2 linked regions of the Schizosaccharomyces pombe genome follow. The protein of the gene in region 1 purifies or fractionates together with the protein of each later gene. This does not show direct contact. Each region holds a gene or a part of one and is shown on either strand. Other genes may lie near its edges.

Evidence for each region.
Region 2: the proteins of sog2 (region 1) and ckb2 purify together in Schizosaccharomyces pombe (affinity purification with mass spectrometry, with the first as the bait; one study listed by BioGRID). This does not show direct contact.

The regions. Positions count from the first base shown.
Region 1 is NC_003423.3:3,553,574-3,557,507, forward strand, and holds the start of sog2 (leucine-rich repeat protein Sog2), read right to left. Parts: upstream 2,084-3,934; 5' UTR 1,910-2,083; coding exon 1-1,909. Other genes in the region: response regulator Mcs4, read left to right, coding at 3,701-3,934.
Region 2 is NC_003423.3:2,577,986-2,581,919, forward strand, and holds the start of ckb2 (CK2 family regulatory subunit protein), read right to left. Parts: upstream 2,154-3,934; 5' UTR 1,097-2,153; coding exon 332-1,096; 3' UTR 1-331. UniProt on the Schizosaccharomyces pombe protein: Regulatory subunit of casein kinase II/CK2.

The sequences.
Region 1 (3,934 bases):
CACTATGGGGTTGTGATGGACTCAATGGTACCAAGGCGTTTTGTAACTCCTTTGCAGCATCGAAAAGAATTAGCAGTAAAAGCCGAACATATCGGACATCCGCACGACTAGTGAGCTCATTTAAAAATTTTTTTGTCACTTCAATTAGTTTACGAAACGAGCTGATACAAGACAATGAAGCGTTTACTATGGAATTAATGTTTGCAGTTCCATCATTGCTTTGTTGGGTATCCTCAAAGCACAGAATTAGCCGCTTAATTTGAACATTGGCAGTATGTAACACATGACGCATAGAATCTAAAACAACGGGGTTGCTGCAAAAAAGAAGTTGCTGACGAAGGGCTTGTTGGACTTGCGAAAGCGAAAACAATATGCCCCTAGACGACTCTAAAGTTTTTTCAAAGGCCGAGTGCTTCATTTCAACCTCACTCCCTCCAATGTTACTGAAGTAGCTGTTGACCGAGTCATTTGTCAAATTGGAGCCATTTTCATGCGTTTCTTCTTTTTTCAAACGAGGGGAAGGATGAGGATCTTGAGCAAAAATTCGATTTGGTAATTGCTCAGAAAGTTTGCGCGCTTCTTTAAGGGCTTCAAGACGATGTAAAACACTCGATGGAAGTCTAGTAGAAGAGTAATCATCATTTGTACTATTGCTTCTATTACGCTCTTTCTTGGCAACCTCAGGTAAACTTATGGCTGATGTTTTAGCACTCGCACTCAACTGCGTTGGAGCTGTTTTTAGAATCGATTGTGTGGAAGCAGCATCATTATTTGAGGGATTTTGATGTTGATCAGTGAATTCTGAAATTTGGTCTTGAATGGGGCTAGCGCCGTTAGTATTGTGAGTACGTTCTTGAACGTCTGCACTAGCGACGGAGGAATTGGTGAGTGAGCTTTGGGGTGAATGGTACAATGGTCCTGTAGCAGAAGAAGGTGGTTTTGAAACAGAAGGAGAATTGAGGCCAGTAGCTAAAGAAACTGACCTACGAGGACGGGCTTGTCTAGGCGACGCATCTAGATGAAATTTGTTTAATTGATTAAGTGATGGAGGATGAGTGCATCCATGAGCAACATTTGAATCATACAATGTTCCTTCTGAGTTCTCATTTGTCTTTGACAAAGTCGATTTGGGTGTGGACTGTTGATGCCCGGCAGGAGAATGTGAATGGGGACTTGGCGTGACAAACGTCAGCATGCCAGGTGAAACCGCATGGCTAGTATCTGATGGGGCACTAAATAAGTAAGAATCAACCACAGAGGAGTCATTTTCTTCCGAGTGACTAAGATTAGCTGAAGCGGATAAAGCAGCGGAAACAGTACTTTCACTTCGCGTTCTAAAGACTGATTCGTTTCGCGACAAATATCCCTTTATATTGGCAATAAACAACTGCATATCAGAATCTTGCAAGTCATTATTAGCGATATGCGGAGGAGGAAACACAATGTGATTGTTTTCAATTTTAAGAATTTCAAGATTCGGCATATGTGCAATGTAGGTGGGAAGCTCAAAAAGACGATTTTTAGAAATTGAAAGAACTTTAAGGTTCATTAAAGCTCCAAAGGATTCTGGCAGTTGCTTGATTTTATTGCGAGAAATGTCTAAAATTTCAAGTGACTCAAGTCGACACAAAGATTCGGGAAACTCTCTAAGGACATTCGATCTAATATTTAGGTACCGGAGACGAGTAAACTTTAGGATTTCAGGACCAATACTCTTTATAAAGTTATGGCCTAGCGCTAGTCTCGCTATCCGACCCTGGATTCTTTCCAATTGTTCATAAGGTAATTCCCGCAAGTTTAGATGAGATAGATCTAACGTAAGTGCATTTTCAGGACCCGCATCTTCTGCCTCTTTAATAATTCTTTCAATTTCTGAGTTTTTTGTGGAGGACACCTCATGAGCAGACATAGCATGAAAAGATCGATCACCTCAGACGTAAATCCGAAGGTTTTGTTGAAAAAAAAAGGAACTCTAAGAAGTAATAATTACTAAAAAAATGCAATGAACATAAAATTGATCCACAATGGTATGCTATAATGTACAAAAGTCAATTCCCCAAAATTTACTGCCAAGCTAGTTCGCGGAACGAATAAACTCACTTCTTTCTGTGTACGCATCTGTAGGTTGTACTTTTTTATTTTAACAACGTGAATAAGCACTTTTCCTTAAAATAATTACAGTTTATTAACGTTTACACAAAATATTTTCGTTAAGTTTGATATTGCGTTTTATTTTTTTTAGCTATGCAGTTCGTAATTATCATTAATGATATGTTAGACTACTTGATTTTCGTATGTGCACTACATAGCGGTACATATGGTTGTATGATAACGGGGGTTACGGATATCCTTGTATGAAGGCGGTAATGTAATTTATCTCTAAACAAACCACCACAGCTGAACTAAAGAACGTTGTTCCTTTGATTTTACATCTATCATTTCTAGCTAATAAATTAAAAAATTTATTAGTGGATCTACATCGTATTGTTATCATTTGTAAGACGATAGGTAATCAGAACATGTGACATATAGTAATTCGTAATTGTAATGTAGTATTGTTAGCATTCATTTCTAATTCTTGAATGATCAAAAGCACTCGCTATATTATGTTGGTTCGAACTTTTTGAGTTCATCGAGATCAGAAGTCGTTATTAACAGGAGCAACAAATGCTAACGCTACAGTATGTTTTGTGGTAAATAATTCTTTAAGTGTAAATTGATAACTTTTTGAATGAGTTGCAATTTTGTTGATTCAATATTTCTGTCATTTATCTATAGTTTGTTTATCAATTTGATTATCTTGGTGCGTTTGATTTCCTAATCATTAATATTTATTGTTTATTTTATTAGTCCTTAATATATTGCTTCCTAATAGAATCGCCTAGGTTTATCATTATGATTTAAGAACCTGATAAAAATAAATGAGTTGATAAATTGTACATATAATCAAACACGGTTTTTTTTTCTATGACTAAATGGGTTACTATCTAAAATAATTTTTTTTGGTTTCTCATTGAGAAATTGAAGCCTCATTATTTTTGAATTTCAAAAATATTGGTTTGTGTTGATTAAATCATTTAATCTGAGTCATTAAATATCCAAACCTGACAAGTAGTAATAGGACCATTAATGGTAGCCAACTAAGTATGGGTATAACGTTTAATTTTTTTTTTTTTTAAACTACATACTTTAAATAAAATCTAAAATAAGGAATAAATTTCAGAAACAATTACTCAATTAGTTAAATTTTAGTAATGTCGAATTCTAATAGTAAGTCAATAACACAACAGTATCCCTTTTAAACGAATACTTATTTGCTCGTATCGTAGAATGTATAATTTACAATCGCAGTTTTAGCTGTGCCTATTATTTTCACGTGTTAAAATTTATTCGATTTTTGTCCTCAGATGGAAGGTGTTACTCTAAGTACTCTACTAAATCCCCAGCGCTTGTTGCACGACTAGGTAACGAAACTCAACACCTTAAGTAGGCTTGCCGTATTGTATCGTGAACCATACCTTACTCATTCCTTATCACGAACAGTGATTTTATACTTGTATATTTCTATTAAATTTAAAATAGAAGGGGATTATACAAGAAGCTATCGAATGTTAAACGTAAAAACAGGCGGCTGTTTTGGTTGTTCATACTGTATATAGGAAAGTTGAGGTTAAGTCAAAAGAAAGAAGATATATAGAAGATGCGCATTTGGTTTAAAAAAGTTCCAGATGGGATTACTTCCTCCGTTATATTGTCTGAAGATCATCTGGTTGACGATTTAAAAGATGCCATCGCTCGGAAATTCCCTATTCGTATCAGTCAGTATTATGATGCACCTGAGCTTTCGATTCGTGTAGTAGCTCCACCAAATGCATCATCGGAGTTGCAATCTAGAGAACTCAGTCCCAACGAAAGCATATTATTTGTCATGGAA
Region 2 (3,934 bases), 980 kb from region 1:
TGCTACTTCAATTGATGAACAAAGTATATTATCAATCAACAAGAAATAAGGAACTTTTTTTTACCCAACTTTTAAAGGTAACCAATATTAAATCCTTTGGAAGTTCATCAAGCTCTTTAGTGTGAATTTACTAATTCAAATGCCTCGCGGACATTATATTAAAAAATACCAAATTCTGTTTTTTCTTATATGCAAAGCAATGAGACATCAACTAGATAATTGAATTTGACGGAAAAGAAACTTCAAGGATATTTTATAGGAATAAAAGTATTATTAAGGCTTAGAGGAACGAACCATTAGGTTATGGCATAAATAAGATGAAGCATCGTTTTTAATCACTTTCAGACTCCGAATCGCTACCACTATCTTCCAAGTACATACGAAGCCATTGCATTCGAGGTCCTGTTTTACTTAATTCGCTGACTTTAAAGCCATAAATTCTAGGCTGATAAATTTTACCACAAGGGATTGAGCGCTTAGGATTCAGTTCAGGATAGCTTTCAAAAAACAGATGAGGAAAAGTAGCACCAAAAAAAGAGCCATCTATGTTTTTGTATCGAGAACTAGAAGGAGCGTACAAATCAAGACAATTAGGGCAAAATAACATTACAGGCATTTTTCCAACTATATCAGAAAGTCCTGCAGGCAAAACATGAGTATAGCAGCAATTTACACGAGGACAGCAACCAAAAATACCCATGCTGTATTTTTCCGCCATTTGATGTAATCCTGTCCGGGTAATAATATAACGTTGATGGATCAAACCATACAATATTTGAGCACTCGTTTCAATTACGTCCATATCAAAATTCTCCAATGTGTCAGGAGCTGTCCGATCGAGAATTAGGTCCAAAGCCTCATTATAGAAAGGGACAGCCAAATTAAGACCGGTTAAATTGAAAAGATCTTCGATAAAATCTTCCTTCACCTCGACAAAGTATTCACGACCTGGTCTTGAGCAGAACCAAGATATCCAACTAACATTTTCATGAAGAGGAGAAGAAGAGAGATCATCAAATAATTCATCAGCATCATCTTTGGTACTGTAAGTGACAGTAGGATCATGATTAAGTTTTATGAGGTTTTTTCGCGACATTGTGGAAGGATTAAAGGATAGACGCACTCTTTGAAATAATTTTCGAATAAAAAAACCTCCTGAAACAGGGAAATTAAGTGAAATAGGATAAAATAGGCGTAGGTAAGTAAAGGTAAAATAAAAAAGCCAAAAACAGAATATCGAAGGAAAAGATTAAAATTAACAACGAAAATGATGATAATAATAATAATAATAATAAAAACAACTCCGTAATCTTTTCAATATTTAAAGGTGTGACATTCAAGGTAAAAAGGATTTTTGTAAGGAATTTAGAATAAATAGGTCAGCCGATTAAACGATTGAAGATGCAAAATAGAAAATCCTTCTTCAGGTTAAAATTTGTAACCCTTGAAGTTCGGTTGCAAAAATATAAGAGCAAAAAAAAAAAAAAAACAGAACAAACAAAAGGATGCAAAGCCTCTGTTTTGATGCTCTTGGATAATCAAAAAGGATAGCCGTTAAATTATCGTATCAGAAAAAACGAAACGATAATAAAACAACTAGGAGTATATCAGTTTTTAATTAACAGAATCTCTAGAGTATGAATAAAGGAAATTCAGAAAATAGAATGTGTTGTTTTTTGGAATGGTTTCAAACCAACAGCTATAACGGATTCCGAACAACAGGCTTGGTTAGAAATCTCGAATTACGGATGTAGATTTCGGAATCGAAACAAGTCCGTACTTCTCAACAAATCAACAATAGTATAGAATACTAGAATATTCAATGAGACCATAAACCTGCTTTAAGCTAAAGGCAATCTAAATAATTGAAGTTCCTCACACCAAAGTGGTTTTTAAGGAACGAGTGAAAAACGAAGAATTAAAGAAGAAAACGAAAATAATTGTTTCTAAAATCGGTCTTATTTCACAATGATAATGACTCAGAACGAAAGACAATTCAAAGGGGAAAAATTTCTCTACCTACCGGTTAAAGTAAACTTCTTCTAGTCTATGAAAAGAGGAAATTCAGCTCTTGTTCTAACAATATTCGTTTTGAATAGCAAATGACTGCTATTCACAGACTGTACAAGGGTCAGAGGTACCCGAAAAGTTGTGAACTTGCTTGCCCGCAAGGGAGAATGCATTATATATGATTAGAATAAGGAATTTCAAACTACCGAAAGTAAAACTAAAATTACGAGTTCGTTGCGGTTCTTAAAGCACAATATATCATCGTCCACTAGGAAAATTCGAGGAAAATAGGATCAGCAGGAGTGAAAGTATAACACCAATTACTACGGTTGGCTACAATTATATTATTAAATAACTGTATAGTTAAAATACAATGTCAATATTTTTTTTTTCTGTAAATAATCGTGATTTTTATTCATGGAATACACTATCACGACAACATGAATGTTTTTTGAATTTTTCCTTTAACAAAATTATAAGAAGGGTCCTACATTCTTGAGGCTAAAATTTGTTTAACCAACTAGTCGAGATACTGTTTTGCCATTTTAAATGTCGGATCTGTAAGTCACAAATAATGTTTCTAGACCTTAAATTACCTTGTTTTTGAATGCTGGATTAAGAAACTAGCAGACCACAAACACCAAAGGGAATACGCGTTACGGCTTAAAAGTTAGCTGACTTGGTACTGTTTTCTGTAATATATTTTCTACCAAAATTTAAATTGTAGAATGCGACTTCTCAAAAACATCAAAATTCTTTAGCAATGCCCATTTATTATTACTTCGTTTACTGTAGGCAGCTTCTCGGCTGTGTAAATTTCGGAATTAAAAGTCTGCGTGGCAAAAAGGAAGTTTTCACGAATCGAGCTTGTAATTAATTAGAGCACACAGTCGCTAAAATAAGTAAAGCCTTCAAAACTACCGGGTGTTAATTTTCTATAGTGGGAAATAAAACAAAGTCTTCAATTGTTCATCAAAAATCGCACCTATTAGGGTATTTGACACAATTGAGCATGGGTATACAGACAACAAATATGTAAAAAAAATAAAAAATAAAATAAATAAATAATAAAATTATTTATGATAGCCAATATTAAATAAGCAATTTTGAGAGCAAAATTAATTTCTCAGAATATTAAAAAAGCAGCGCCAACAACAATTTCACAAGCAAGAGATGACAATGTTTCATACAACCCCATTTATAAGTTTTTATTATTTGTACATTTATCATTTTACTTTTTACATTTGTTTTAACTAGGAGTTTCTCGAAGATTTGATTCACAAACAAATATTTTGGGAGAAGGAGCTTGATGCCACTGCTTATATCATCAGCAAAATCAATAATTGAAATAATCAATTTGTGTTTGTTACCGTTTAATATATAATATAACAACTCGCTACTTCAAAAAGTCTTTATTTTATTAAGTTGAAATTTTTTGTTTTATACAAGAATTGTATACGTTCGCTTTATCATCATTAACAAATTTCTAATAGGATAGTTTGTTATTTTTAGATGATGTAGTGAATTGAACTTAACACTAAGTATCCAAAGATTCATGAATGTTTACTTACACGAAAACTCCAGGGCGTATATCCTGTTCAACCATCATTGCACTGTTTATTATTATTATTATTGTTATTGTTATACTTCTCAGTAGTTTAAATATTTACGAATTGCTAACTTGGAGTTTTTCTGCATTTATGTTCATATTAAGGCTTATAAAAAGATGATTTTCTAGAAATTCTATCTCCGTTTACTGTATCATCTAATATATTTGACTATGAATGGGGGTTTACCCTATCAATCTTCCCAATAAGCTACGATTTATCATATAATGTATAGTAACACATTACGTTAACTGCTTTAGCGAAAAATGTGGTATTTCAATAGAATTTGTCAAGGAGCTTAAAAAATTCCTCTAATG